Macaca fascicularis: one gene and its partners. The protein of the gene in region 1 purifies or fractionates together with the protein of each later gene. This does not show direct contact. Links are inferred from orthologs where the notes say so. Each region holds a gene or a part of one and is shown in the gene's direction. Other genes may lie near its edges.

The links.
Region 2: the proteins of OTUD5 (region 1) and ZGPAT purify together in Homo sapiens (affinity purification with mass spectrometry; 3 studies listed by BioGRID, with this or other methods). This does not show direct contact. The link is inferred for Macaca fascicularis from reciprocal best matches to the Homo sapiens genes OTUD5 and ZGPAT.
Region 3: the proteins of OTUD5 (region 1) and KHDRBS1 purify together in Homo sapiens (affinity purification with mass spectrometry, with the first as the bait; 3 studies listed by BioGRID). This does not show direct contact. The link is inferred for Macaca fascicularis from reciprocal best matches to the Homo sapiens genes OTUD5 and KHDRBS1.
Region 4: the proteins of OTUD5 (region 1) and MAGED1 purify together in Homo sapiens (affinity purification with mass spectrometry, with the first as the bait; 3 studies listed by BioGRID). This does not show direct contact. The link is inferred for Macaca fascicularis from reciprocal best matches to the Homo sapiens genes OTUD5 and MAGED1.

The regions. Positions count from the first base shown.
Region 1 is NC_088395.1:49,113,517-49,119,009, reverse strand, and holds the start of OTUD5 (OTU domain-containing protein 5), read left to right. Parts: upstream 1-2,240; 5' UTR 2,241-2,584; coding exon 2,585-3,178; intron 3,179-5,493. UniProt on the Homo sapiens protein: Deubiquitinating enzyme that functions as a negative regulator of the innate immune system. Has peptidase activity towards 'Lys-48'- and 'Lys-63'-linked polyubiquitin chains. Can also cleave 'Lys-11'-linked ubiquitin chains (in vitro).
Region 2 is NC_088384.1:119,848,169-119,853,224, forward strand, and holds the end of ZGPAT (zinc finger CCCH-type with G patch domain-containing protein), read left to right. Parts: intron 1-1,437; coding exon 1,438-1,571; intron 1,572-1,783; exon of another isoform or gene 1,784-1,806; coding exon 1,807-1,959; exon of another isoform or gene 1,960-2,882; coding exon 2,883-3,002; exon of another isoform or gene 3,003-3,218; coding exon 3,219-3,624; intron 3,625-3,840; coding exon 3,841-3,979; 3' UTR 3,980-4,000; downstream 4,001-5,056. Other genes in the region: LIME1 (lck-interacting transmembrane adapter 1), read left to right, coding at 4,001-4,247. UniProt on the Homo sapiens protein: Transcription repressor that specifically binds the 5'-GGAG[GA]A[GA]A-3' consensus sequence. Represses transcription by recruiting the chromatin multiprotein complex NuRD to target promoters.
Region 3 is NC_088375.1:203,001,626-203,006,483, reverse strand, and holds part of KHDRBS1 (KH domain-containing, RNA-binding, signal transduction-associated protein 1), read left to right. Parts: intron 1-2,818; coding exon 2,819-2,943; intron 2,944-4,045; coding exon 4,046-4,162; intron 4,163-4,858. UniProt on the Homo sapiens protein: Recruited and tyrosine phosphorylated by several receptor systems, for example the T-cell, leptin and insulin receptors. Once phosphorylated, functions as an adapter protein in signal transduction cascades by binding to SH2 and SH3 domain-containing proteins.
Region 4 is NC_088395.1:51,960,315-51,965,172, forward strand, and holds part of MAGED1 (melanoma-associated antigen D1), read left to right. Parts: intron 1-1,927; exon of another isoform or gene 1,928-2,058; intron 2,059-2,574; 5' UTR 2,575-2,610; coding exon 2,611-2,655; intron 2,656-2,929; coding exon 2,930-4,063; intron 4,064-4,706; coding exon 4,707-4,858. UniProt on the Homo sapiens protein: Involved in the apoptotic response after nerve growth factor (NGF) binding in neuronal cells. Inhibits cell cycle progression, and facilitates NGFR-mediated apoptosis. May act as a regulator of the function of DLX family members.

The DNA.
Region 1 (5,493 bases):
GTCTAGAGATTTGGGAGGTAGAATTGGCAGGACTTGGGATTGACAGGCATGTGGGAGTTGAGGAAGAGGGAGCAGTCAAGGTTGACTCCCAGGTTCTGGCTTGGACAACGGCTGGATGGGAGTGCTATTCCCTGGTAAAGGGAACATCAAAGCTGTTAGCACTCAGTGCTAGGTACATAGTAAGTACTTGGTGAAGGGTAGCCATGATTACTATCTTGAGTTCAGTTTTAGATGTGTAGTGAGTGAAATATATGGGGCTAGGGTGAGATGGTCATGAGAAGATTCAATGTGATAATGTGCATCTGGCACAGAGCCATGAACACAACAGGCCTGGTAAACATGAAAGTCCCCTCCTCCCATTAAGTCTCATGAGCAGAAAACACTACTTAGAACCCATTTATTACTTACACCTTTCAGGGAAGAACTTCAACTAGGGTTAGTATCTGAAGGGAGGCAAGGCTATACTCAAAACAGCTTTCCCATGGTCTCTTTCAGTCAACCTGTTGTATGGCTTGTCTCCTAAGACTGGAAGTGAACTCCAAATACCTTCTTGGTTCATCAGCTCATCTGAACCCCATAACCATTCCCTGAGGTAGTCTGGGCAGGCATTATCATTCCCGTTTTACACACGGGTAATCTCAAAAGCAACACAATGACTTGCTCAAGATCATACAGTTGGTAATGGTCCATCTGTGCCTGGAACTGAGGTCTTTCTGGCTCCAAAGCCTACGATCCTTCCACTGCACCACCATGCAGACTACTTTATTGAACACTTCCTATGTGCTGGGCACAACACCAGGCCCTTCAGAAGCATTAATCTCTGATCCTCAGATTGGAATTATCATTGCCAATTTATAGAATAGAAATTGAGGATGGGTGCTCACTTCGCACCACATATACTAAACTTAGAACGATACAGAGAAGATTAGCATGGCACTATGCGAAAGGATGACACGCAAATACGTGAAGCGTTCTATAAAAAAGTAAACAACAATAACAAAAATTGAGGACGGGGTGGGAGTTAAATGACTGACAAAGATCAATCAGACAGGAAGCGCAGAGCTAGAATTAGCGTGTAGCTCTCCAGCTACTCAATAGCAGGGATTCTGCCAACCCCATTTCGAGACGCTGACTGGTGACAGAGCTGATTCATAAACCTCGATCGACCCAAGCAAACTCAGTTTTAGAAAAAGGCTGGGCTTGGCCAGGCGCGGTGACTCACGCCTGTAATCCCAGCACTCTGCGAAGCCGAGGCGGGAGGATCGCTTGAGCCCAGGAGGTGGAGATCAGCCTGGGCAACATAGCGAGACTTTGTCCCTACAAAAAAGTGAAAAAAAAATTAGCCGGGCGTAGTGGTGCGCGCTTGCGGTTCCAGCTATTCGGGAGACTGAGGCGGGAGGATCGCTTGAACCTTGGAGTTGGAGTTTGCAGTGAGCTATGATCGCGCCACCGCATTCCAGCCTGGGCGACAGAGTGAGACCCCCGTCTCGATTAGAGGGGGGGGGAAAAAAAAAAAAAAAAAAAAAAAAAAAAAAAGGCTGGGCCGCGCCTGCGCACTAGCCATAGGGCCGGGGAGGTCAACCCGAGGGCGAGAGTGCTGTGGTGCCAGAGAAGGCGTGTCTGTTTCCCAAACAACCACTGTCCCCACGGTGCTTGTCTGTCCCAAGGTTGGTCGGTATGACGCGAGTGACGGCGTCTTTTAGCCAATCACCGCAGAACTCAGGCTGTTGCCGGGGTGAAGCGGTGTCCGCCTCCCCCGGAAGGATATTTGTAGGTGGGTGGGACCGGAAGTGACGCTACAGGGGAATGCTATGCTCTGGGAGTGTTGATGTTTTCCAGTCATTCCGGCTGACAGCGTTCAAGTTGGAAGCCTGGAGGGGAGGTGTTTTTCCTGTCGTACGTGGGACAGGCCACGCTGTCCGTCCGCAGTACCGACGACTGCGAGTCAGAGCTTCGGGGAGAAAAGTGAAGAGCAAGACGGGACCGACGGGGAGAAAGGCTGGGAACCAGGGTGTCGACTTTGACTGAAATTTGAGACGGAGGGCACCGGAGGGCGAGCACTCGCCTGTGATTGGCCCGTGGGCGTCGTCGAGGACCCACGCAGCTGCTCAATTGGTTGGTGTTCGCAATTGTTGTGGCTGCGGCGGCGATTTTGCCCACGTACTTCCGAGCAAGGGGCGGGGCTGTGCCCTGGCGCGCGTGCGCAGCGCCCCGGGGCCCCACCCGGTAGTGCAAGAACCTGCGAGGGGGCGGAGCGAAGAGGTGCTTGTTTTGGTTCTGTTTCCTTTGAAGCAGAAGGCCGGAACAAGCGTAGCAATAAATTTGCTGGACTTGGAGAGAAGGTTCCGACAAACTCGCCGCACTGCCTTCATCTTGGACTTTACATCCGGGTTCTCCTCCCGGCGTGACCCGCGCGCCGCCGCCGCCGCCGCCGCCGAGGGTTCTCGAACCGGTGCCGCGATCCCTTTATCCGGGTTTCGCCGTTCCCGTCGTGCTTAGCGCACTACACTAGCCCCCCCTCATCCGGGTTCTCTCCCGGCGTGCCTCGCGCCGGGTTTGTTGGGGGGTACTCGGCGGTGCAGCCATGACTATACTCCCCAAAAAGAAGCCGCCGCCTCCCGACGCCGACCCCGCCAACGAGCCGCCGCCGCCCGGGCCGCTGCCCCCGGCGCCGCGGCGCGGCGGGGGTGTGGGCGTGGGCGGCGGCGGCACGGGCGTGGGCGGCGGCGATCGCGACCGTGACTCCGGCGTCGTGGGGGCCCGTCCGCGAGCTTCGCCACCGCCTCAAGGCCCGCTACCAGGACCGCCGGGCGCACTTCATCGCTGGGCGCTGGCCGTGCCGCCTGGTGCAGTGGCGGGTCCCCGGCCACAACAGGCTTCTCCACCTCCTTGCGGGGGCCCAGGTGGTCCCGGCGGCGGTCCCGGCGACGCGCTGGGCGCAGCGGCGGCGGGTGTGGGTGCCGCGGGCGTGGTGGTGGGTGTGGGTGGTGCCGTAGGCGTGGGCGGCTGCTGCTCCGGGCCTGGGCACAGCAAGCGGCGACGTCAAGCTCCCGGGGTTGGCGCGGTTGGCGGGGGCAGTCCCGAGCGTGAGGAGGTCGGCGCAGGCTACAACAGTGAGGACGAGTATGAGGCGGCTGCAGCACGCATCGAGGCTATGGACCCTGCCACTGTCGAGCAGGTAAGAGCTGCGGGATGAGGGGTGGGCGGCTACGGCAGATGGGACCCCCAGACTGTGAAGAGCCTCAAGGAAGGCTGTTTGAGATCGCCCCAAGGGATTTAGGCGTTTTCACTGGGCCTGATAGTCTTCTCTGGTGGTAGGGGTGTGAGATGCCTTCTTTCCTCCCCTCCAGGGATTTGGGGCTAGAGGCCTACGATAAGGTGGCAGACTTAAAGATGGGATCCGAGGCCTCTTTTAGGGTCTGTAATCGTCATTTCAGTCCTTGGGACCTCATCTTGTAGGGCCAATAGGTGGGAATTCTCCAAGAGACACAGGTAGGATCGCGCCCCTCTTGAGCAGGAGTCTCAGGTCTTCCAAAAGACCTAGGTCTGTGTTCAGTGGCTTAAGAGCTCTTTTCCTTTGGGATAGAAGTTTGAGATTCCTCCTCCAGGAAAGTCAAATAAGGTGGAGACCTCAGAGATCGGGTCTGAACATCCCCAAGGAGCCTAAGCCCTTTCAAGAGTCTAAGACACTCTGCATGTAGGACAGTCCTCTCCTGCTTCGCTAGGTAACACGGCACAGGACCACTGAATAGCCAGACCTGAGACCTCAAGGGTCCTAAGTCTGTCTTCAGGGGCCTGAGAGTCCTTATTGTAGAATCAAGGTCCTGACACACACACACACACACACACACACACACCCTTTAAGGACAGGGATCTTCTAAGCTTTTTCCAGGGATGTAAGACTTTTCGCAGGGAGATATGATTCCCTTGCCCTTGGGGACAGGGACCGAAACCAACACCCAAGGACCAGCAGCTTTACTTGAGTACAAGAGACTCATCCGCTTTCTGAGTGACAAAGGTCTGCATTTCCTATCAGTGGCTGAGACCTACCTCTTCGGAGACAAGGCCCTGACTCTCTTCAGGATCTTAAGCTTCTTGTAAGAAGAGATGGGCCCTCAGCACCCCCACCAGGGGCCTGAACCTTTCTTCAGGAAAATGAAGACTCACAGCGTTGGATCCTAGGGCCTAAGATCCACCTGCTTATGGACTGAGGTTTTTAGAGACCGAGTCTGAGGCCTCTTTGGGGGCGTGGTGTTCTGCTGCAAAGGTCTCAGACAAGGTGAAGCCTTAGGAGATTCTTCTTCTCAAGACTAGTGTCTGAGTGGTTTTGGGGGTCCGAGACTCCCTACCCCACAAGCATATGTGACCTTTTTACCCCAATTATAAGGGACTGAAACATACCTTGATACAGTATCTCATTTTCCCTTTTGTAACAGGGGTTTGAGGCCCTCCCCTCTTTGGGCCTAAGCTTCTTGTCAGGGACATATGACCCTTGCCTTGGGAACTTGAGCCTGAGACGACTCCTCAGGGGACATGGGCAACATGGGATCCCAGAGATCATGTCTGGGGCCTCCCTACAGATCTCTGCCTACATTTAAGGGCCTGAGACCCACTCTGCCAAGGACACTTGAGCTTTCCTTCAGGGATGGGAGACTCATACATACCCTGGTGACTTGTGTGTCTAGAGGTAAGGTCTGAGCTTCCTCCTCAAGGATCTTAAGGTGTACCCCTGAGAAACAGGAGGACTCCTCCCCCGACGCCTGAGCCCTGAGACCCTTCCCTTGGGGCATGGATAAAGGATCCCTGTGGAACAGGGTCCTGAGTCTACCTCCAAGGGTTTGAATCCTACCTCAGGTGTGCGAAGGCCTGTTCCCCACCTTAGGACCTGATTTCTGAACCTGTCCTTAGGGTACTGTCACCTCACCTCAGACAACATACATACACCCTAGTCATAGGGGTCATTTAGGGATGTAAGATTTCCTGCCTCGGGGACTTGGGCCTCAGATTCCCAATTCCTTTCGGGGACATGAGTAGAGTAGGATTCTGAGGAAAAGAGTCTGGGCCCGAGCTTCCTCTCTGGGACAAGATATCGTTTGCCTTAGGGACTGGGGCCTGGCTCCCACTTGGGCATGAGGCTCTCCCCCTACCACACCAGGGATTCCTTTCTGTACCGGGAGAGGAACGTGAGGTCATCCTCTCCCATTGGACAGAAGGACCTGGATGCTCTTCAGGGTCATATGAACCCCTTATCCTGAGCTCCCTCGTGGCCAGGGCCAAGAAGATCCTCTTCCTTTCTATGAGAAGATTGTCAGGTCCTGGGGACATGGAGTCTGGAGCCTCCCTTCTGAAACCAGGAGCGATTCAGAGTTTCTCCCTGACCTAGCTATGCTTGCTTCTCACCTCTAGATCATATAATAAGTTTTGAACTGCTTTTGACAAGCTTTTTTCTTCCCAGGGACAGGAAAGGGGTTTGGGACATCGCCACTCTGGGGA
Region 2 (5,056 bases), on another chromosome or scaffold:
TGTGTAAAGTGTACAGTTGGCCCTTGGGGTGTGTGAGACTGTGTATGTGTGCATGTGCGTACATGTGTAAAGTGTACAGTAGGCCCGTGTGAGTGTGAGACTGTGTGTGTGTGCATGTGCATACGTGTGTAAAGTGTACAGTTGACCCTTGGTATGTGTGTGTGTGTGACTGTGTGTGTGTGTATGTGTGCATGTGCATACATGTGTAAAGTGTACAGTAGGCCCTTTGTGTGTGAGAGAGACTATGTGTGCATGTGCATACGTGTGTAAAGTGTACAGTTGGCCCTTGGTATCCGCGGGTTCCATAACCATCAATTCAACCAATCTCCAGTCGAAAATAATTGGGGAAGAAAAGGATGGCTGCGTCTGTACACTGTATAACAACTATTTACATGGCGTTTACATTGTATCAGGTACTGCAAGTACTCTAGGGATGATTTAAAGTATATGGGAGGATGTGCATAGGTTGTATGCAAATACTGTGTCATTGTATCTAAGGGACTTGAGCATCCTCGGGTTTTAGTGTCCACAGGGGGTTTCCTACAGATACCAAGAGACTACTGTATGTGTGTGTGCAAGTGTGAGCGTGTATGCATGTATGTGCATATGTGCATGTCGTGTGTGCATGTATGTGCATATGTGCATGTCATGTGTGTGCATGTGTGCATGTATGCATATGTGCATGTTGTGTGTGTGCATGTGTGTGTATATGCGTGTATGGGTGTATATGTTAGTACATGTGACAGTGCGTGTGTGCGCATGTGTGTGGGTGACTGCATGTGTGGGTGAGGGCACGTTTGTGCGCGTGTGTGTGCATGTGTGTGCTCGTGTGGGTGAGTGCATGTGCACATGTGTGTGAGAGGGCGTGTGTGTGCGCGCATGTGTATGGGTGAGAGTGCATGTGCACGTGTGTGAGCAGGCGTGTGTGTGCGCGCATGTGCGTGGGTGAGAGGGTGCTTGTGTATATCCATGTATGACTGCATATGTATTTGCATGAGTGTGTGTGTGAGTGCATGTTTATAAATGTGTGAGGGTCTGTGTGTATGTGTATGACTACATGTTTATGTGTTATATGCATGTGTGTATGTGTGTACATGTGTATGTGCATGCGTATATGTGTATGTGTGTGCATGCGTGTATGCATGTGTGAGTGTATGTGTATGTGTGTATATGCATGTGTATGTGTGTACGTGTGTATATGCATGTGTGCACCTGTGTATGTACGTGTATGCATGTGTTAGTGCATGTGCATGTGTGTACGAGTATGTGTACATGTGTGTATGTGCATGTATGTGTATATGTGTGCGTGTGTGTGTGTATACATGCATGTGTCTGGCTCCCTCAGGATGGTGCCCAGGTGGATGGGTCAGTGCTCCTGGGTTTATTTGCCCCTGGTGGCCCATGTCTGAGCCCTGCCCCCTATGGCTCTGTCTGCAGGTTCTCCCATGGGCAGGTGGTCCCTCTGGATGAGCTGCGCCCCTTCCAGGACCCAGACCTGAGCTCCCTGCAGGCCGGCTCTGCGTGTCTGGCCAAGCACCAGGATGGCCTCTGGCACGCGGCACGCATCACCGGTGAGGCTGGCCGTGGAGGCCTCCCGGGAACACCCTCCCAGGCTCCACACGTGTTATTACTGCGTGGCTGCTCCCTGCCTCCTTTGGGATGAGTGTTGGGACTCTGGCTCTGGGCCCGAAATGAGCACATCTACCCTCAGCCTCTGCCCTGCCTTGCTCCTGATGTCCAGGGTGGTTCCCCATCAGTGGCAGCTGCTGTCAAGGATGCTGACCTGCAGCTTGTCTCTGCCTCTAGATGTGGACAATGGCTACTACACAGTCAAGTTTGACTCGCTGCTGCTGAGGGAGGCTGTGGTGGAGGGGGACGGCATCCTGCCCCCACTGCGCACAGAGGCCACAGAGTCCGACTCAGACAGCGATGGCACAGGTGACTCCAGCTATGCCAGAGGTATGGCAGCAGCTGTGGAACCCAGGAGCCAGGAAGGTGGGGTCACCCTGAGAGGCTCCTGGCTTTTGAGGGCACCGACCGTCTAACCAAACTATTGGAGAGAGTGGCCACAGCGAGGGCGCCAGCCGTGCCTGGGGAGGCCGTGTGGGGCAGGGGTACAGGAGTGCGAGTGAAGGGCCGGGGTAGATCCGTGGTGGCCTTTGTCTTCAAGGAGCGTGGGTACAACAGCTACAGTCTCACTGATGGGAGGCCATGGTCATGGCTGTGGCCATGGGAGAGGAGGCGCCCGGAGTTGCCAAGGAAGTCACAGAAAATGAACAACTGATGAGGCCTGGAGTGCAAGAGGGGCAGCTCCTCTGCATGGCTTCTCAAACTTGGGACCTGGGTGCCTGGTGGATCCTGGCAGACAGAGGTGGTGTCCAGACAGCCAGGGTGGAAGCTTCGGGAATGGGAACTAGTGGCCGGTGGCCAGCTCTCCAGAGGGGTGTGTGTATACGTGTGTGTGTATATGCGGGAGGTCACCTGACCCAAGCATGGTGGGCTGAGTCCAGGAGGGGTCTGCATGTTGGAGGTGTACCCAGGGATCAGTGATGGTGGTTTCTGAAGCCCCAAGTCCCTGGTGAAGGAGGACCAAACCAAGGACTCTGTGAGGGCAGGTGAGGAGCTCACGGCCTTGCGAAGGTGGAGAAGGGCAAGGGCAGGAGAGGGCTGTGGAGGAGGGGTCACGGTGCAGGAGGCCGTGGGGACTGCCATGCACTCTGCCTGGTGTCACATGCCCACAGCAGCCTCAGTGACAGAGCACGGAGCCCCAGAGGTGGGGTGTTGGGGCTCTGCCCAGGATCTGAGCTCATTGGTCAGAGCCCAGGTCACCATGTATAGTCCTCTGCCCTGGCCGGCCACTGCCCTCTGTCCTTCTCTTGCAGTGGTGGGGTCGGACACTGTGGACTCCGGGACCTGCAGCTCTGCCTTTGCCGGCTGGGAGGTGCACACGCGAGGCATAGGCTCCAGACTCCTCACCAAGATGGGCTACGAGTTTGGCAAGGGTGAGTACAAGCAGCCCTGGAGAAGTGGGCAGAGGCTGCAGCATAGCCCAGGTCCCGCAGCCATCAGATTCCCCGGGGGTCCCGCAGCCATCAGGTTCCCGGGGGTCCCGCAGCCGTCACGTTCCCGGGGGTCCCGCAGCCGTCACGTTCCCGGGGGTCCCGCAGCCATCAGGTTCCCAGCGTCCGGCAGCCACAGCACTGCCGTTCCTGTCTCAGGTTTGGGCCGACACGCAGATGGTCGGGTGGAGCCCATCCATGCTGTAGTGTTGCCACGAGGGAAGTCGCTGGACCAGTGTGTGGAGACGCTGCAGAAGCGGACCAGGGTTGGCAAGGGTGGCACCAACAAGCCCCCCAGGTGCCGGGGAAGAGGGGCCCGGCCTGGGGGCCGCCCACCCCCTCGGAATGTGTTTGACTTCCTCAATGAAAAGCTGCAAGGCCAGGCTCCTGGGGCCCTAGAGGCCGGGGCAGCCCCGGCGGGGAGGAGGAGCAAGGACATGTACCATGCCAGCAAGAGCGCCAAGCGGGCGCTGAGCCTGCGGCTCTTCCAGACCGAGGAGAAGATCGAGCGAACCCAGCGGGACATCAGGAGCATCCAGGAGGCTCTCACCCGCAACGCTGGCCGGTAGGTGTGGGGCCCGGCTCAGGGCAGAGGGAAACCCAGGGTGGCCCTGCCCCCAGGACACCTGCGGGAGGTCACCTGACCCAAGCATGTCAGGCTGAGTCCAGGAGGGGTCTGCGTGTTGGAGGACAGGCAGTGGGCACACGGGCAGTGGACATGGCAGCCTGGGGCTGGCGGCATGGCCGGGGACCCCACACTGACTGGTGAGCCTCTCCGCAGGCATAGCGTGGCGTCAGCCCAGCTGCAGGAGAAGCTGGCAGGAGCCCAGCGCCAGCTGGGGCAGCTCCGGGCTCAGGAAGCAGGCCTGCAGCAGGAGCAGAGGAAGGCAGACACCCACAAGAAGATGACTGAGTTCTAGAGAACCCTGCAAGCACTATGGATGAAGTGTGGGACCCCGGCACAGGCTGCCCTCAGAAAGACCAGCGTTGCCCAAGGAGGGGCCGGCCTGCTGGCCTGGGGCGTGCGGACCCTGCTGAGTGGAGACGGGGCTGCAGGGTCCTGTCTGGACACTTTCTTGCCCACCTGCCAGTGTCTTGGGCATTTCCTTGGCAAGGACATTAAAGTGATTTCATCACAGTGTCATTCAGTGGAGATCAGCTGGCTGCAGGGTCTCTGGGGAGAGAAGGGTCTGTGCAGGGCTGTGGTGAGCGGTGGGCTGGGCTGGAGGGGCCTAGGAGGCCAGCATTCTCCCTTCTCTCCCTTCTCTGTCCAAGGCAGATTGGAGGCCGGGGTGCCCGCCAGGCTGCCTGACACCCACAGATGGGTGGAGCTCAGTGCTGCTCCAGCAGGCAAGACGGGCCAGCGGGCGAGACGGGTGGGAGGACTGTGGCCCACCACGTGGGGTACTCCTGGTGAGGCAGGCAGACCTGGCCCTGTGAGTTTGGGGGTTCTGTGCCAGCTCTGCTCACGTCTTCATGTGTGGAGGGGATGTGAGTTAGGCTGTCAGAACAGTGCGGGCTCGAGGCACACACGTTTCATCTAGGCTTCGGGCGGGGCGCAGCAGGTGGGTGAGGCTGCGGTGGTGGCTGCTGCCCAGGGTGGGAGGCTCAGGGGAGGCGCTCGGCAACAGGAGCAGGAAGTGATGAGGTGGGGAGCTCAGCCGAGGGCTGTACAAAGACCTTCCTCGCCTGCCCCAGACAGAGCTGAGGACCCCTGGCCGTGGGCTTGGTAAGTGCCTGGGCAGATCCCCAAGTCTCTTGGTCCCCAAGTGCCCTCCTGGGGGGCAGCTGGGGTCTGGGAGGCCTTGGGACGTGGCTGTAGCTGGGTTAGTCGGCCGGCCTGAAACCCACTCCCTGGGTCTGGGCAGACTGGCCCCAAACTCCAGAGGCCACCCCTCACCCGCCAGCCGCTGCCTCTGTGCTGCGGGATGTGCTGACTATAAGGCGTCCCCCACCCCCAGAATTCTGCTAATCCCCAAGAAGGGACAGATCCTCTG
Region 3 (4,858 bases), on another chromosome or scaffold:
AGGGTTAGGATTACCCTCACAAGTAAAGTGTTGAATGAAGCATTACTCTATTAATTGTAAGGTCAAATTTGTTTTCTATTCCAGGCAGTGAAACATAAGATTGTGAAGAGTACTGTCATTTACAGTTCTTCTTGTAGGATTAAAGGTTTTAATTAAGGATATTTACAGTTCGTCAGCAATTTTAATTGTCAGGAAACCAGAGAGTTATGTGCTCTATTAGTTCATGGTATAGTATAGCATCTGAAATTAGGCTTTTTAACAAATAAGACTTCAGTCTGAAATTCTAAATTCTATATAGCATGTCTGAGTCCATTACTTTGCTTCATCTATATATTTCAGAGCTGCAGCTCTCTCAACATTTATTTTAAAAACTCCCAGTGCGGTGGCTCACACCTGTAATCCCAGCACTTTGGGAGGCTGTGGTGGGTGGATCACTTGAAGTCACACCAGCCCAGCCAACATGGTGAAACCCCATCTCTACTAAAAATACAAAAAAAAAAGTTAGTCGGGCATAGTGGTGCATGCCTGTAGTTCCAGCTACTTGGAAGGCTGAGGCAGGAGAGTCGCTTGAACCCGGGAAGCAGAGGTTCCAGTGAGCAGAGATTGTGCCACTGCACTCCAGTCTGGGTGACAGAGCGAGACCGTGTCTCAAAAAATAATAATAATTAGTAAATAAATAAAAACTGTTAAGGGTATACATTTGCAGAACGTGTTTGAGGTAGGGTATGTTTATACTTTAAGCCAATGATTTTCAAAGTATGGTCCCTGCACCAGCAGTATCAGAATTACCTGGGAACTTGTTGGAATTGCAAATTCCTAACACAAATCCCAGACTGGGTTTGAGGCCCAGCAGTCTAGTTTAATAAGCCCTCTTCTAGGTGATTCTGATGCATGAAGAAGTTTGGGAACCCTAGTCTTAAAATTCTAGAACATGGGAATATTATGTGATATTCTATTACAGAGTATTTTCTGATATTTAGAATGTTCCACTGATTTTAGGGAGTATATGTATTTTAACTATTCTCAGTGAATCATATAAGCTTTCAGTTGCTGCTCATTCCTTGGGCACTTTTCCCTCATCTCTGTTAGAACTCCTGTTATAGCACGTAACTATACTTCATTGCCACCCCTATAGTCTGGGAACTCCAGTATATAAACAGTGAAGACAGAGACCAGTCTGACTCGCTCTGTTGTATCTCCTGTGCTTTGCAAGACAGATGCCTGGCTCTTAGTAAGTCCTCCATAGTGGTTAATGATTGTACCTATTATAGCTCTCCCTTCATCTGCCTCTCCATACCGTAGGAAGCACTCAAACACTTGCAGTCACTCAATGAATGAAGTTCCTTAATGGTAGGAAATCTTTTTTTCTTTTTTTTTTTTTTTTTTTGAGACGGAGTCTTCCTCTGTCACCCAGGCTGGAGTGCTGTGGCCGGATCTCAGCTCACTGCAAGCTCCGCCTCCCGGGTTCCCGCCATTCTCCTGCCTCAGCCTCCCGAGTAGCTGGGACTACAGGCACCCGCCACCTCGCCCGGCTAGTTTTTTGTATTTTTTAGTAGAGACGGGGTTTCACCGTGTTAGTCAGGATGGTCTCGATCTCCTGACCTTGTGATCCGCCCGTCTCGGCCTCCCAAAGTGCTGGGATTACAGGCTTGAGCCACCGCGCCCGGCCAGTAGGAAATCTTTTTGGTATGCCAAGTTTCTATCTAATGAAACTGTCTTAACCTGCGAATTGAAAGTACTTTTGGGTGATGATGGATATGTCTGTGGCCATAATGGTGGTGATAGTTTCATGGGTGTATACTTATCTCCAAACTCATCATGAATTGTATACATTAATTATGTATGGGTTTTTACATATCAGTTATACTTCAATAAAATGTTTTTTTAGAAAGTACCTTGTGGCTGGGCCGGGCGCAGTGGCTCATGCCTGTAATCCCAGCACTTTGGGAGGCTGAGGCAGGTGGATCACCTGAGGTCGGGAGTTCAAGACCAGCCTGACCAACATGGAGAAACCCCGTCTCTACTAAAAATACAAAATTAGCTGGGCATGGTGGCACATGCCTGTAATCCCTGCTACTTGGAAGGCTGAGGCAGGAGAATCGCTTGAACCCAGGAGGCAGAGGTTACGGTGAGCCAAGATTGCACCCAGCCTGGGCAACAGGAGTGAAACTCCGTCTCAAAAAAGTACCTGGTGCATTTTGTATCGTTTAGACATTGGCTGAATTTGGGCTAGATAATGGTGACGATACATTAAGTACTTTATGAAAAATTGCCTTTAGTTAGGCATATCTACATATTTTATTAACTTCTCTTACGTCACACAACTAGTGAGTAGCAGAGTAAGAACAAGGTCTTTCAGACTCTTAAGGACTAGTATCTAGAGTACTAATGTCACTGTGGAACTTTAATGGAACTATCCATTGTATATTTAGATTATTGATTTTTGCTTTTTTCAAGGTAAGATTATATTTTGTCTTGATGCAGATTTTAATTTTTTGTTTGTTTCTTTATTCTCCTTTCCCCATCTCACCCAATTAATTTTGTTAAATCGATTTAAGAAACATTTAAATGTCTCTATTCTCACGTGAGGCTTCAGGTGAGGTTAGAAGAGCACACTACTTTTATTAGAAGCAGGCTTTGGGCTTTCTAATCAACTTCATACAACTTTAGTACTTTCAGCTAGTTTCTTTCTGAAATTGGCACATTCATGTGTACTATTTGGTCTCACTATATGGTACTTCATGTTATTGCTTTAAGCAGACTTCAAAATTTGCTTTTATTTACCAGAGCAAAAATTTAAATTGTTTTTCCTATTCAGAAATTGAGAAGATTCAGAAAGGAGACTCAAAAAAGGACGATGAAGAGAATTACTTGGATTTATTTTCTCATAAGAACATGAAACTGAAAGAGCGAGTGCTGATACCTGTCAAGCAGTATCCCAAGGTAAGGCAAAAAGTGCCTTGCATCTTTGAGTTATCTTTATAGTTACGAGAGAGTCATGGACTCCTGGGGATTGTGATGCTTTAGAAACTTAAGCCTGTGAAGCTTCTCTTTCATGCTTGCAGTACCTGTTTCTGGCAATTGAAATATCTAAGTTCTTAACTAAACATAGTTATAGCCAGGAAGGAAATGTAATAATCTTTTTATTATCAAAAAGTTTCTTTCTCTAATGACTGCTCAGGCTACAAGTTCAAAGAAAAAAAAAAATAAAACCTGAAGAGTTGCTCTCTGTCAAAAGACTAACCTGAAATCTAAATAAAAGGAAATATAATACAAATCCTCAATTGGATGAAGTTAATTTTATTTTCTTACTAAAAGTTTACTTTTAAGTAAATGCTTTTTTTCTTCTTTTTTTTTTTTTTCTTTTTTTAGGAAAGCAATTAGTTACATTTAGTTTATCCAGCGTGCTATCAAAGGGTGCTATATAGTCTCTTCTGTTCTGAGGTCACTGCGTTAACAATGTTTATGTATGTTAAGGCATGCATAAACAGGCACAGTGGCTCATGCCTGTAATGCCAGCACTTTGGGAGGCCAATGCAGGCAGATTACTTGAGCCCAGGAATTCAAGACCAGCCTAAGCAACATAGCAAAACCGTATCTCTACAAAAAATAACAAAAATTAGCCTGATATGGTGATGTGCACCTATAGTCCCAGCTACTCCAGAGGCTGAGGCGGGAGGATCACTTGAGCCCAGGAAGTCGAGGCTGTGGTGAGCCATGATCATGTCACTACACTTTGGCCTGGGCAACAAAGTGAGAGCCTGTCTCAAAATAAAGTAAAAAATAAAATAGTAAAGGTCTTAGTGTATTATGGAAGATGGCCAGAATACATCAGAAAAGCCAAATTCAGGTCTAGGAACTGCCACTTTCTAGTTTCATAATCTTAAACTAATCACTTTATTAATATGGCTTCAGCGTCCTTCAGTAAAACGGGAATGGTATTACTCTACCTTTGCAGGGTTGTTTAAAATCAAATGAGGTAATTTATGTGGAGATGTTTTTATATAGTAGCATGTATATTTAGAAATCCTTTATTTTCTGTCAGTTCAATTTTGTGGGGAAGATTCTTGGACCACAAGGGAATACAATCAAAAGACTGCAGGAAGAGACTGGTGCAAAGATCTCTGTGTTGGGAAAGGGCTCAATGAGAGACAAAGCCAAGGTAAGCTCACATTAGTGAGGCAAGAGGACATCCTAATGCGTTCTACTTGCCCAGAATGCAGTATAGATGCCTTATAGAGGCAAGAATTTTGTGTATGTACAGAATGTGGCTCCTTTAAGTGTGCATTGGGTGCAAGAGATTATACACCAAGTTAATTTACTTGCTTGGCAACCCTGGAAGAGCCTAGGTGTGCCCTGGTGATAGTTTTCTTTTGGACTTTTGACTGCATAGTAATGGACAGAGCAGTAGCATCTTGTGCATTGGTAGGATTGTCTGGGAAAACTTGAAAGGGGAGCTGGATATACTAAAACTTAGTCTAAAGCAGACAAAAGACACTAAAAGGCAAACAGCACACCCCCTTTTTTGTAACCTGGAAAAGTGAGAACAATAGTGTTGTGAGAGCAGAAGAGTTTGAGGATTAGTTGGTTTGTTTTATAGCCGGCTGGAATGTGAGGCTCACTAAAAGAATGTATTCCAAAAGGAGCCATGAGTAATCCTGACTACAGAATCTAATGAGTCTTTTCCCATGCCATAGCCGCATATACTGTGTACTCTGTGACAAGAAACTTCTCACCAAAACAGAATGGTCTTAGCCTTCTGGGGTCACTTTATTTGATGAGATATGCCTGCTACAGTCCGAAAACCTATTCTTTCAATCCTCCTTTTATGTAGCCTAATGGACACGTGTTTGTTTTC
Region 4 (4,858 bases), about 2.8 Mb from region 1:
TGTTGGTGGGAAGGAGGAGGTGTATGAAGGAATTGATTTGGGACCTGTTAATTTAGAGAATACTGAGAGATATCCATTTGGAGAAGTGAGGTAGGTAGTTACTATGGATCTAGAATTCACAGGGCAAGTCATAACTGAAGATACAGATATGGAAACAGCATAGAAAATTGTGTTTCCGACCTCCTTTCCTGAGTCTGATCACGTCTCACTGCAGACACTTTACAGAGGAAGTGCTGAGGAAAAACAGGCAGCTGACAGAGGAGGTTGCTATGCAACAGATTAGGAAAGTCATCCAGCCAGGCAGAACTGATGTTGGCCCTTGGGGACCAAATGCTGCAGTCCTTCCTAGCATTAGCTTCCTTTCATGTGCAGGCTTCTGGCATGAGTTGATGCCAGAACAAATGTGAACTGCACAAAGATCTGTCTTGAATTTTGGAAATGTACCAGTTTAATTTGAGTCACCTCACATCTGTATTTAATTTTCTGCCTTTTTGAGTTTCTCCAGTTATCCTGGAAGCATAGCAGCGTGTGTGTTCTTGGGTAGGACCCACTTGCTGTGCATTCCACTTTGCACATTGAGAAACCGGGCTCAGAGAATTGAGTGACCTGAGCGGGCTCACACAGCTGGAGACAGACAGGCTGGGCACTCCATCGCTGGAATTCTGAAGCCCAGCCCAGTTTCTCTCCGTAAGACCACAGCTGCCCCAGACCCCAGCCCTGAAAGGAACCAGGGCTTGCCATGGCTCAGACACACAGGTCTGATTGTCCTGGCTGCTCCAGTGGGCACCAGAAGGCCTCAGGGACAGTGCGATTGTATCCCTGATAAGGAAGAGGCCTGACGTTCTGAGCACAGAGTGGACCCCAAGGAGCAATTTCCACACCTGGATGGACCCACATAGGGCAGGGGGGAGGGTGGGGGCCTCTGCTTGTGTCCTCCTGAATGCAGAGCATGAGCTTGGGCCTCCTAGAACACAAACTTTGCTTGTTTAGGACAAATGGGGTGCCGTGGTCTGTTGCTCAAATGGAGGAGGGAGGGGTACCCTTAGTCCCCAGGGCAGCATGAGCAGAACGTGGGTTTTGGAGTCAGGAAGACCCAGACCCAAATTTTGCATTTTGTTTTCTGGCTTTGTGGCCTTGTCTAGTTTATGCAATGTATATGTGCCTCATCTTCCTGATCTGTAAAATGAGGGTGCTGACATTCACCTCCCAGGGCTGCTGTGACGGGAAGACAAGCCCCAGCACAAATCCTGCTGTGATGTACAAGCTGTGCCCTTCCCTCCTTTCCTCCCCCAACACACACAAATGAGTCCATCACCGGAGCTGCATAAAGAACAGGGAAGAAACTAACGTTCTTTCTGCGTCTGGGAGCTTGTGGGGGCGGGCAGGGAGTGGGGGAGAAATCATGGAGTCACGTGGCAGCCACAGACTTACTACTACTACTTTGTTAGCTCCAATAGTGTATCCTCTCAGGCCATTCCGTTTCCTCAGCGGAGGTCTAACACTTGTTGCAATTAGAGACCCCACACAGAGACCTAAGCGTGCTGGGCAAGGGGGTGGAGATGCAAGCCGACCTGACAGGAGGGGCCTTGAGTAGGGGAGGGACGGAATAGAGACGCATTGCGGAAAAGGTAGGGGGCCGGTGTGTGGGGCAAGGGGTGTGACCAAGAGGCACAGCGCATCTGTTGGGGGAGGGGGCGTAGAGGAAGGGGAGGTGCTGTTGTATAGTGTCGACCTGGTTGGTGGTGGGGTGGTGTGTTGGCAAAGGGGGCGGGACCGCCTTCAAGCGCACATGCGCATCATGGTCTCCAGGACGAAGCTTTTGTTGGGAAAGCAGGCGGGACTGACTTTGGCTTTTCAGTGTTTGCGCATGCGCGTAATGTCCTGAGGCGGTGGGTGGTATATTAGGCGAAGAGGCGGGGTCGCCCAAGCTGCCGCGCTGGCATTTTCTCCTGGACAAGGAGAGAGTGCGGCTGCTGAGAGCCGAGCCCAGCAATCCCGATCCTCTGAGTCGTGAAGAAGGGAGGCAGCGAGGGGGTTGGGGTTGGGGCCTGAGGCAAGGTGAGAATTAGCCCCCAGACAGGGCATCTGCCCCCTGGTGCGGGCCCCCATTTTTGTTTTATCCCGATCCCTTCACCCTGGATTCTGAATCCCTTTCCACCCCCCAAGCCCCAATTCACATGCCCCTCCCGATCCTTCCTGATTCAAAACCCCTGTCCGATCCCTCCCATCGTTCGAAATCCTCAGATTCCTTGACCTCGATCTGTACTGTTAGATGATTCCTCCTGACTCAAAACCTCCATGCAACTTCCCAAATGCGAATCCCAACCCAACCGCACCCCTCCTCCGCGAATTCAGAACTCATCTGCTTCCCAAACCCCGATTTGAAGCATCTCCCTGTCAGTAGCTTCTCGGGGTTCAGAACCTGCATCTGGACGCCCATTCACTTTTCCTGCTCCGATCCGTTCCTCCTCACATTCACCTTATCCGCCCGCACAATCACCACAGTCATCCCCCTCCCAATTCGGTCCTTCGTATTTGCCCTCTGTAGTATAACGCCCTGCCCCTCTCCCACAGCCCCCAGGCTCCGCTCTTGCCAGAGGGACAGGAGCCATGGCTCAGAAAATGGACTGTGGTGCGGGCCTCCTCGGCTTCCAGGTGAGATCTCCACTCCCCACCCCAGCATTTCCCCAGCCGACAGTCACCCCTCCCCGCGGGCCTCTTTGGTTTCCCAAACGCCGGGATCCGGTTTGGCCCTCTTTAGTGACTAGACTCCGTGGGCCTTTCGAATTCTCATCGTTTATCGAAGGGGGGGAGGGGCGTCTCTTTTCAGCCATCAGTCCCTGCTCAGAGAGAGGGGAGACCCTGTTAGTAGTCAGGGCAATCTGCCCAGAGAATGCGGGGTGGGTAAGGAACCATTTTTTTTTTCCAGAGTCCTGACGCTTGTAGAGCAGTCTGTCACCCCCTCCCCCAGCCTCCTGCCTCCACCCTCCCTCTCTCTGCATTCCCCACTCTGTGCGACCCCCCTTATTCTCAACTCCGCGATCCGCCTCCCGTCCTGAGCTGCTACTGCACGCCTCTCAGAGCGTCCCTGGCTCCTGTTCCTGCCCACTCTCTGCACACCTCCCCACCCCTCATTTTGCCCCTGCCCTACTCCATCCCTGCCACATGTTTAGTACCCGCCCCGCCCCCTATCGCCCCTTGCGGGTCCCATAGATCTCTGCCTCAGCCCCCCTGTTTTTGCACCCACCACCCGCCTGCAGCTCCCCTGTTGCGCTGCCACCCGGGCTCCCTATTCCCACCCCACCTCCTGCCTCAGAGGCCCAGAGATTTAATTTTTCCCCTCCTGTGTTTGCAGGCTGAGGCCTCTGTAGAAGACAGCGCCTTGCTTATGCAGACCTTGATGGAGGCCATCCAGATCTCAGAGGCTCCACCTACTAACCAGGCCACTGCAGCTGCTAGTCCCCAGAGTTCACAGCCCCCAACTGCCAATGAGATGGCTGACATTCAGGTTTCAGCAGCTGCCGCTAGGCCTAAGTCAGCCTTTAAAGTCCAGAATGCCACCACAAAAGGCCCAAATGGTGTCTATGATTTCTCTCAGGCTCATAATGCCAAGGACGTGCCCAACACGCAGCCCAAGGCAGCCCTTAAGTCCCAAAATGCCACCCCAAAGGGTCCAAATGCTGCCTATGATTTTTCCCAGGCAGCAACCACTGGTGAGTTAGCTGCTAACAAGTCTGAGATGGCCTTTAAGGCCCAGAATGCCACTACTAAAGTGGGCCCAAATGCCACCTACAATTTCTCTCAGTCTCTCAATGCCAATGACCTGGCCAACAGCAGGCCTAAGACCCCCTTCAAGGCTTGGAATGATACCACTAAGTCCCCAACAGCTGATACCCAGACCCAGAATGTAAATCAGGCCAAAATGGCCACTTCCCAGGCTGACATAGAGACCGACCCAGGTATCTCTGAATCTGACGGTGCAACTGCACAGACATCAGCAGATGGTTCCCAGGCTCAGAATCTGGAGTCCCGGACAATAATTCGGGGCAAGAGGACCCGCAAGGTGAGATCCCTGCTAGCTTCACTTTGCTTTGGGGCTCTCTCCTTTCTTCTCTGAGGGTGTTCGTTTGTTCAAAACAATGTATGTAACTGTATTCAGCTAGGCTATAGGCCATTTGAAGAGAATGTTTATTCCTGTCCTCCGGGTGTTCACAAACTGATGGGGAGATAATACATGGGCACAAATAATATATACAACCTGTATGTAATTCAGTTTACATTGTGTTAGTAACTACCGTGTGTTAAGCCTTGAGCTAGGCACATTCACACGGGTTGTCTCATAAAATCTTAAAGGCACCTCCTACCAGGTAGGGATCATAGTCCCAATTTTACAGAGAAGGAAATTAAGTGGCAGAGAAGTGAAGTGACTTGAGTGATTTGTTCAGGGTGGTACAGACAGAGCCAGTGGTGGACATAGGAAGAGGAGAAGCCTCAGTCCCCATCTTTGGTTTGTTCCTGACCTGGTTCGGAGATGAAACTCCTGCCTGGAAGACAGTGAAAGACAAACCCAGGACTCAGGGTGACCAATGGCTAGTGGGTCAGGCTGTCACTACAGGTGAGGGTTTAGAGGGCATTCCTGGAATAGATAAGGTAAGGACACAGAACCCACTGGTGATTCTGAACTTTTCTTCTCTCTGATGATACAGATTAATAACTTGAATGTTGAAGAGAACAGCAGTGGGGATCAGAGGCGGGCCCCACTGGCTGCAGGGACCTGGAGGTCTGCACCAGTTCCAGTGACCACTCAGAACCCACCTGGCGCACCCCCCAACGTGCTCTGGCAGACGCCATTGGCTTG